2 linked regions of the Macaca mulatta genome follow. The protein of the gene in region 1 binds, or shares a complex with, the protein of each later gene. Links are inferred from orthologs where the notes say so. Each region holds a gene or a part of one and is shown on either strand. Other genes may lie near its edges.

Evidence for each region. The genes of interacting proteins can lie anywhere in the genome.
Region 2: the proteins of RAB1B (region 1) and TBC1D20 are in contact, whole or in part, in a crystal structure (PDB 4HLQ), measured with the Homo sapiens proteins. The link is inferred for Macaca mulatta from reciprocal best matches to the Homo sapiens genes RAB1B and TBC1D20. Residues at the interface, in NP_112243.1 of Homo sapiens: Ser17, Gly18, Ser36, Tyr37, Ile38, Ser39, Thr40, Ile41, Gly42, Val43, Asp44, Phe45, Gln60, Trp62, Ala65, Gly66, Gln67, Arg69, Phe70, Thr72, Ile73, Tyr77, Glu94; in NP_653229.1 of Homo sapiens: Gln97, Gln98, Leu101, Asp102, Arg104, Arg105, Leu107, Arg108, His141, Tyr142, Tyr143, Gln144, Gly145, His147, Asp148, Phe177, Met178, Asp179, Pro180, Thr181, Met182, Lys186, Val212, Ile215, Leu218, Ser219, Thr223, His227, Met272, Ala273.

What each region holds. Positions count from the first base shown.
Region 1 is NC_133419.1:8,145,083-8,150,132, forward strand, and holds the start of RAB1B (ras-related protein Rab-1B), read right to left. Parts: upstream 3,239-5,050; 5' UTR 3,145-3,238; coding exon 3,131-3,144; exon of another isoform or gene 2,282-3,130; intron 1,291-2,281; exon of another isoform or gene 14-1,290; intron 1-13. Other genes in the region: KLC2 (kinesin light chain 2), read right to left, coding at 4,866-4,949. UniProt on the Homo sapiens protein: The small GTPases Rab are key regulators of intracellular membrane trafficking, from the formation of transport vesicles to their fusion with membranes.
Region 2 is NC_133415.1:83,693,741-83,698,277, reverse strand, and holds the start of TBC1D20 (TBC1 domain family member 20), read right to left. Parts: upstream 3,328-4,537; 5' UTR 3,218-3,327; coding exon 3,148-3,217; intron 1-3,147. UniProt on the Homo sapiens protein: GTPase-activating protein (GAP) specific for Rab1 and Rab2 small GTPase families for which it can accelerate the intrinsic GTP hydrolysis rate by more than five orders of magnitude. Also shows GAP activity for RAB18 GTPase.

The DNA of each region.
Region 1 (5,050 bases):
ACTACCACTTCTAACTAATCTTTTTTTTTTTTTTTTTTTTTTCTGAGACGGAGTTTCGCTCTTGTTGCCCAGGCTGGAGTGCAATGGCGTGATCTTGGCTCACTGCAACCTCCGCCTGCCAGGTTCAAGCAATTCTCCTGTCTCGGCCTCCCGAGTAGCTGGGATTACAGGCACCTGCCACCATGCCTGGCTAAGTTTTGTATTTTTAGTAGAGACAGGGTTTCACCATGTTGGCCAGGCTCGTCTCAAACTCCTGACCTCAGGTGATCCACCTGCCTCAGCCTCCCAAAGTGCTGGGATTACACGTGTGAGCCACCACATCCAGCCCCTGGCTACTCTTTTTATGTTTTGTAGAGACGGGGTCTCACTATGTTGCCCAGGCTGGTCTCAAACTCCTGAGTTCAATCGATTCACCTGCCTTGGCCTCTAAAAGTGCTGGGATTACAGGGGTGAGCCTGGTCATCCTTTGGTTTAGAATACTATGGTGCTCACCAGATCTTCCCACCAGTCCCGGTCAGGGAGGGCTGATGCCCCCCTCCAGAAAAAGCTAGCCCAAAGGGCTCTCAGCTTGCTGAGTCTAAATTCTCACTTTATGGAGAAAGAAATCAAGACACAGAGAGGGACGTGACCTGCCAAGGCGACAGAGCTGGGTATCCTACCCTGATTTCTGAGACTTCATGGTTTGGTACAGTAGGGGCTATTTAGGGAATCCCCAGTACATGACCTGTGGTATGCCTGGCTTGGCAGGGGAGGCCCCAGAAGTAGAACCCAGGGCACAGTCTAGAACTTGTTAAGTGAAAAACCCATGTAAAGAGACTGATGGCCGGGTGCTGTGGGGTGTGCCTGTGGTCCCAGCTACTGGGGAGGGTGAAGCAGGAGGAGGATCCCTGGAGCCCAGGAGTACATGACCAGCCTGGGTGATGTAGCACGACCCTGTCTCTCTCTTTTTTTTTTTTTGAGACGGAGTCTTGCTCTGTCACCCAGGCTGGAGTGCAGTGGCCGGATCTCAGCTCACTGCAAGCTCCGCCTCCCGGGTTTACGCCATTCTCCTGCCTCAGCCTCCCGAGTAGCTGGGACTACAGGCGCCCGCCACCGCGCCCGGCTAGTTTTTTGTATTTTTAGTAGAGACGGGGTTTCACCGTGTTAGCCAGGATGGTCTCGATCTCCTGACCTCGAGATCCGCCCGCCTCGGCCTCCCAAAGTGCTGGGATTACAGGCTTGAGCCACCGCGCCCGGCCATCTCTCTTTTTTTTGAAATGGAGTCTCACTCTGTCACCAGGCTGGAGTGCAGTGGCACGATCTCGGCTCACTGCAACCTCCAACTCCCGGGTTCAAGTGATTCTCCCGCCTCAGCCTCCAGAGTAGCTGGGATTACAGGCACGTGCCATGACACTTGGCTAATTTTTGTATTTTTAGTAGAGATGGGGTTTCATCATGTTGGCCAGGATGGTCTCGATCTTCTGACCTCGTGATCCACCCGCCTCAGCCTCCCAAATTGCTGGGATTACAGGCGTAAGCCACCGCGCCCAGTCCACCCCATCTCTTTGGAAACAACAACAAAAAACCTGTTATGAAGTCACCAGGAAGAGGTGGTCAAGTTGCAATGAAAATTGCACTTAAGGCTGGGTGCAGTGGCTGACACCTGTAATCCCAACATTTTGGGAGCCCGAGCACAAGGATCATTTGAGCCCAAGAATTTGAGACCAGGCTGGGAAACAGATGGAGACCCTGTCTTTACAAAAAATTTAAAAATGTGCCAGATGTGGTGGTGTACCTCTGTATTCTCAGCTACTCAGGAGGACAAGGCAGGAGGAATGCTTGAGCCCAAGAGTTGGAGACTGCAGTGAGCCATGATCGTGCCACTGTACTCCAGCCTGGGTGACAGAGAGAGACCCTGTCTCAAAAAAAAAAAAAAAAAAAAAAAGGTAAAAGGTAATCACATTTAATAATATTAAGTTCCAACTTGTGACTGTGTGAAGTCACACAGTTGAGTTCCCTGTGTGAAGTACTTCAAATGCATCATCTCATTTAATCTTCACAACAGTCCAATGAAGTCAGTTTTATCATTGTCAACTAATGAGGAAACCAGAGGCCAGAGAAGGGAAGTGACTTGCCCTAACTTACACAGTTTTTCGCTTTAAGACTCAAACCAGGTTTGTCAGACTCCAAAGTCCCTGCGAGAGCCTGCTGGTTCCCTTCTCTGTTCCCCTCCCAATCCAGCTCAGAGCTTCACCCTTCCCCAAGGAAATCTGAGACCTGGATGTGGAGGAGAAAAAGGAAGTGGCAGAAGAGGAAGAAGATAACTGATACTTGGGGAAAACTATTAGTCCTGGGCATGAGATGTGGGCCACCTACCCGCAGAGGGAGTGACCAAGAGTGAGGAGAGTTTGAGGACCAGAGAATCCCGCTGGAAGGGGGAGAGCAAATTCCATATTCATCTAAACTTCACAAGCAGTGTGACAGCCAAGGGAAGGGGTGCGACGGTGGCGTTGGGGGCCTGAGCAAAAGCGAGGAGAGGGCGGGAAAGGACGGACCGTCGGGAGCGACAGGTCAGCGTAACCCAGGCAAAGGGTAGGAGGCAGCCCCGGAAGAGAGGACCTGCGGGAGACGGGACTCAAGCGGCGCTTCGGGGCCTCCCGCTTAGTTGGCCAGTTTCTGGGCCGGCCCCAGGAGCCGGGCTTCAGGAGAAAGAGAAGGGTAGAGGGATTCACTGCCCGACCTAAAGGGCCCGAGCCTGAACCCGAGACCAGAAACTATCTAAAGACGGGCTCCCAAACTCCAGGACAGTTGTCAAGCAGCAGGTGGGGAAACTGAGGCCTGAAGTGACCGGGACTGCGGGGTCATCTGACCGATAAGGCCTGGTAGGGCCGGTGTCTCGGGCTCCAAGAGCTGCCCCTCGGGGTCGCCACGTCTGGGCCCCGGGTGTGAGAGCTCGGGGTGTTGAGCCGGGGTCCTGGGGCCCCTGGGGGGAGGGGCAGAACCCGGATGTGAGGGGGGGGGGTCAGCGGAAGAGGGACCCGGATGTGGGGGCGCCGCACAGTCCTGACCCGGGCCAGACAACCCCGGTAAGCGTACAGCCCCGTATTCGGGATCGAGGCTGCGCTGGACGGCGCGGGCGGGGCTCACTCACTATTCGGGGTTCATGGCGGCGGCGGCGGCCCGCTCGGTCGCTCCCAGTCGGCTCTGCTCCGCCTCCCGTTCCAAGATGGTGGCCGCTCCGCCCCAGAGGCCCCGCCCGCGACGCGCAGGCGCAAACGTCCTCTTCTCAGGCCTCGCCGCGCTGGTTCTCGGAACTTGTAGTCTGAGACGTTCTCCAACTCAGCCCCGCTGCGCAGGCGTAGTCGGGGAGCCCGTGCCTCCGCGCCCACTCCCATCACTACTGGCGCATTGCCTTCTGGGGCTTGTAGTTTGCACGCCGGACGCACCTAGGCTTGAGCACGATGCTGGAAAGCCTGACGGCGTCTCGGTGTTTAAAAAGCTCAGTTTAGAGCTGGGCTTGGCACGTTTCACATCTGTCTGACGGAGACAGTCATCCTTACCCTCCCAATACCCACGTTGTGAACATTAAATGAGAATGTGGGATCTAGCAAGACTAGTAAAAGCTCACTTGTCCAGGGTTCCTCGTGTACTGGGCACTCCTAACTCGCAGCCGCGTGTCATCACCCGCATTTCATAGATGAAAAAACTGAGTATCGGGAAACTCACTCAAAGTCAAAAACTTTGTGAAGAGCAGAGCTCGTAAGAGCCCGCGGTCTCCAGAACCCCACAAGTGAACGTTTTAGGGAAAGCCTGACTTGTGGGGCCCCCACCCAGTTCCGGGGTGGGCCAGAATATCTGGGCCCAGCTGCGCGGACAGCGGTTGAGCGAGACACACTGTCCCCCACTCACGCGCGACCCTTCCCGGCTCCACCCGTTTAGAGACGCGGGGGCACCCCGACCTCCGCCTCAAAACAAGCCCGGCTCAGATTCAAACCGTCTTTATTTCTACAGCAACATCTGAAAATAGAGAGCAGCCGCCTCACCCGCAACAGGGGGAGCCCCTCCTGCCACCAAGGGACCGTCGCCGCCCCTCGCGAGAAGCTGCAGGCGTGGGGAGAGGCGTGGCAGGATGGCTCGGTGGGCGGTGCCCGGGGCGGGGTCGGGCCGTGCCTGGGCGGGGCCGGGCGGGAGGGGCAGTGCATAAGGCCGGGATGCGGGGCAGGGCCCGGCGGTGGGAGGACTGACTAAGGGGAGGTCCCCGTCCTGGGGCACGGGGCGATGGCGGGGTAGGACGCATCCCTCAGAGGCCAGGAGGAGCGCGAGAAGGTCCCGGGAGCCACTTAGGAGGCGCCACTCCCGAGAATGTGGAGCCTGGGAGATACCACCGCACGGAATGGGGGTGATTAAGGCCTGGGCGGTACCACTAGAGGAGGGACGAGGGGAGGCCCGGGTAGTACCGTGGACTGAAGGGTGGGGCGCGGCCAATAACTTATTTCTCTATATACAGAAGCAACGGCCGGGTTGAGTTGGGAGGGAGGGCGAAGGTGCCGAAGGGCCGGCGAGTGCTTAGTGTTCTTGGCTCTGGGGTCTGGGGAGGCCAGGCCACTGAGTCTATGGTGGAGACTCCAGCCGGCACCTCCTGCTGGCCCCGAACCTAAGGAAGAGGGCCCTGCTGGAAGGAATAAATAAGGGATCGAGCTGGAGTGGGCAGGCCCAGCCTCCAGGGCTCAGGCTGAGATGACAAGGGAGAAGGTTACCCTGAGATTGAACAGAAAAGACAGGGGCTGTGGGAGAGACAGGCGGGACAAGCAGCAGGCCCATGCGCAGGGCTGGGGTGAGGGGGGTGTGCCAGGTGGGCGCTCTGGTGACTGGCTGCCCCTTCAGCATTAGCCCACCAGGGAGCTTCGTCGGGAGAGGTCCATGGAGCTGGAGCTGAGAGTGCGGCTGTCAGAGAGACCTGTGCCTCCAGGCTGTGGGCAGAGGGGGCAGGTGGCTCAGCCCTGTGCTGCTGCCAGTCTGTGCCTCCCTGGCCTGAAGCGGCCTGACCCGGCAGAGGCAGCCGGAGTCCCTG
Region 2 (4,537 bases), on another chromosome or scaffold:
TTTTTTTGAGACGGAGTCTCGCTCTGTCACCCAGGCTGGAGTGCAGTGGCCGGATCTCAGCTCACTGCAAGCTCCGCCTCCCGGGTTCACGCCATTCTCCTGCCTCAGCCTCCCGAGTAGCTGGGACTACAGGCGCCCGCCACCTCGCCCGGCTAGTTTTTTGTATTTTTTAGTAGAGACGGGGTTTCACCGTGTTAACCAGGATGGTCTCGATCTCCTGACCTCGTGATCCGCCCGTCTCGGCCTCCCAAAGTGCTGGGATTACAGGCTTGAGCCACCGCGCCCGGCCTGAACTGTTGTTCTTAATGGTTCAGATGAAGATGACACAACCCACTACTGTCTTACATTTCTCCCAACTCTGGCTACAGAATCCAGGTAAAGATTTCTGCCTCCTCATAGTAATAGGCATGTCCAAAATCACCTGGATTAGGGCACTTAATATACAGGGAAGGGACAATAACAACTAAAGATGACCACTATCCATGCCTCATCTAAAAGTTTTTTCATGTATTTTTCCATATCACCAAAACAAATACGAACTTGGATCAACTAATTTATATAATGGAATCTCGTGTGAGAGTACAAAATTCCATACTGATTATTTGGTTTAAGCTTGCATTATCATAAAAGCTTTACAGTCTTTAAACTGAAGTTAAGCTCACATTAAGCAATGCTAGTCTTAAAACAATGGAGGGTTGGGGACGTTTTCTGTGGAGGGAAGGAGACAGACATCCCCCTACACCCACCCACAACTCCTGACATTGACATTGGAAATTAACTTAAAAATTTATGCCTGTAGTCCCAGCTACTCAGGAGGCTGAGGTAGGAGGATCACTTAAGTCCAGGAGTTGGGAGGTGACAGTGAGCTTTGACTGTGACACTGCACTCCAGCCCGGGGGACAGAGCAAGATCCCATCTCTCAAAAAAAAAAAAAAAAAAAAAAAAAGCTTTAACTCCATGTCTGTACCAGAAGACCACAGCAGGAGACCACAGAGACTCTTCAGTCTGGGTAAGAGTCCTATTAAACACAAAATAAAACAAAGTAGCCTCTGTTTTTGGAGGTCTTAACTAGTAGTTTCTACAAAACAGTATCCAAATTAGCAAAAATTCTGTTAACTACCTGGAACATAAAGCAGGTTATAAAGACTTAAGAATGTTTCACCCCTATAATGGAAAAAAACCAGTCTAGTGAGTAAACCAATCTGATCATAAACGCTACAAAAGAGGGATAAGCATTAGGAACTTTGCCAACAATACTCTGATATGATTAAAAAACAAAACAGTAACAAAAACAAAAAACCTCACTTTTAAATTTGTCCCATTCATCCAGAGAAGCAAAATCAAGGAAACTAGAGGCGGTAAAGTCTTGCAACAGACACACAGCTGCACTGCCAACAGGTCACAAGACCCATGTTGCCTAGGGCATTGACTATTATGCCACTGAGGACAGACATCACACAAACACCAGTAATGAAAGGGTTACGGTGCCAAAGGGTTCAGAGCTCCATCCACTTTCATTCAGTATCAGAACATGAGAAAAAGGGAAAAAACAGAAAATGAGCCCAAATAAAATATAAAATAAAATATGAATACCAGCAGCTTCCTCAAAATACGTGGGTTGAATAACGTGTTTGGCTCTGTTATGGGTACCATCCATCAGAGGACTGGAAATGGGGAATGTCACCTTAGTCTTCCTCAAGGAAAAAAGATTATTTAACTTGGTTCACGGTGTACATTCATAATTTTAACTGTCATGTATTTATTGAATGAAAAACATTTGAGAACATAATGTGCAACAAAAACATGAGTTCACAGAAATGGTCCAAACTAAAAGAGTATAAAAATAGAATCGCGGCCGGGTGCGGTGGCTCAAGCCTGTAATCCCAGCACTTTGGGAGGCCGAGACGGGCAGATCACGAGGTCAGGAGATCGAGACCACCCTGGCTGACACGGTGAAACCCCGTCTCTACTAAAAAATACAAAAAACTAGCCGGGGGAGGTGGCGGGCGCCTGCAGTCCCAGCTACTCGGGAGGCTGAGGCAGGAGAATGGCATGAATCCGGGAGGCGGAGCTTGCAGTGAGCTGAGATCCGACCACTGCACTCCAGCCTGGGCGGCAGAGCGAGACTCCGTCTCAAAAAAAAAAAAAAAAAAAAAATAGAATCGCTTTGTATACAATAATTTACTCATTATTGAGATAGGGTCTCCATCTGTCACCCAGGCTGGAGTGCAATGGCGCAATCATAGAGTAGCCTCCAAGTCCTGGGTTCAAGCGATCCTCCCGCCTCAGCCTCCTGAGTCGTTGGGATCACAGGCTCAAGCCTCCACATCTGGCGTTAAAAAAAAAACTTTTTGTAGAGATGAGGCCTCGCTATGCTTCCCAGCCTGACCTCGAAATCCTGGCCTCAATCGATCCTCCAACCACGGCCTCCCAAAGCGCTGGGATTACAGGCGGGAGCCATAGCGCCAGGTCGCTTTTACACAACTAATCAACATTAAAATAGGTGGCAGAAGACAGACAGAAAGTCTATTTGTGGTTGCCAGGCTTCGTGAATACTGGGGAATGGGGAGTGCCTGCTAATGGGTAAGGGTTTCATTTCGGAATCAGACAGCGGCGATGGCTGCACAACTTTGTGAATGTGCTAAGAATCACTGAACTGTGCACCTTAAAGGGAGAATTGTATGGTAATTAAATCGGCGGTACGCGGACAGCGCGTCAATCAAGCCGGCGACAGTGAATGAAGTTCGGGAGAGCTGATTTCCCTCGGGGAGGCGGCTCCGGGAGTCTGCGAACGTGGCGGACGCCTGGGACGGGGTGGGCCTGCCAGCGCTCGGGGAGTCCCGGTCCTCTCCAGACGGAAGAAAGCCGGGGCGCGGAGCTCCCGCCCGCTCTTCTGCCTGGGGACGCTACTCTGCCGCCAGACTCCCTCGGGTCAGCTCGGCACCCGCCCGAGCCCCCCCGTTCCAGGCCCTCTCCCCATCAGACGTGCCTCGGGCCCTCCGCCTCTTCCTCTCTCGCCGCCCGGAACCCCGCCGCAGCCCCGGGTCGCCAGCCCGCGCCCCTCCGGCACCGCCTCCGCCACCAGCTGCCACTGCCCCCTGGGCCGCCCTCGCAGGCCGCTCCCGGCGCCCTGGTCGGCTTCCGTACCTGCCTTCTCCGTGCCGCCGTCCCAGTGGCTGGAGTTGGGGCCGTCGCCCTGCGCACTCCGGAGGGCCATGCCCCGGGGGCCCGGGCCCCCACCCGAGCCCCGGCTGGTGGCGGAGCCGGGAGAAAACGCGGCTCCGACCGCTGGACGTAGCGCCCGCTCGGCATCGGCAGGCTCCGCTCGGTCGGCCAGCGGCGCGCAGGCGCGAAGGCGCCCCGCTGGCCCCGCCCCGCGCCGGCACGTGACCTTGCGCTACGCCTGGACGCGGAAGGAGGGCGGTGAGCGCGCTGAGCAGTTAGTTTCCTCTGCGCTGTAGACTCTACGGTGTAGAGTGTGGCGCTTTTGAACGAGTGTGCTCAAGACCGGCTGTCATTTCCTTTGCTTCTTTCATCTGTTAAATAGTATAGATGATAATAAAAATATTGAACTCACAGGGTTATTGAGAGTGTTTAGAACATTACCAAGCATATAGTAAATACTCCACAATTATGACAAATCTTTGCTTACCAAGGATTTTTATTTTTTTTTACCTCCTGTCTCATCTCCCCACACGAACTCCTGTCATCAGTTCTTGGGTACTTGGGGATCTAGCAGGTTCATCTCATACGGGTCCGCAGGTTATGCACTGCACAAGGCCTGGGAGCGCCATTCACGTAGACGTTCATGTGAGCAGTGCCCCGCTTACATTGTGCAAAATAGTGGCCACTCATCTAAAGTAGCACTCTGGCTTATCAGGTCTGATTTCCTTCTCGTCTCCAGTGACGTTCCTTTCTTTCCAGTTGGACATCCATTCCCTTACTTACGTCCCTGATACTGTGATTGTGGCCTCCCGAATTTCTAGTACTAGCTCTTTATGCTGAGGTTCTTATAATTCCAGTTGCTTGATGACTCTCTTCCACCTCCCACCCCCAACTACAACAGTTCTTTATTATCCTGAGACCTCCAACCCATGAAACTCCTGACCTCGTGATCCACCCGCCTCAGCCTTCCAAAGTGCTGGGATTACAGGCAGCCACCGCGCACAGCCAAATTTTACAGTTTTATTCATAAATCTAGTAAATTATATCACTTATTTGGTCCCATTAATAAACTTAGCTAATTAAAATTCTTTGAACATTTGAAACTGCATTTATAAATTTAATTCATTTTTCTAAGTATCAGTTTTCTGTCTAGCAAAGCCTTTCAAGTCCTTGTGTAATTCTTGTAAATATAATAAATTTATAAGAATACTGAGTCATGAGTACTTTTAAATGTGTCAATACAAATGAGATTTCATCTTAAAATCAACAGTCTGAATCTATTATTCAAATACATATTTGTAATTAGTACAAGAATAATCTATTAGAATTCTCAAAATTCTTTCTTTTTTTTTTTTTTTTTTGAGACAGAGTC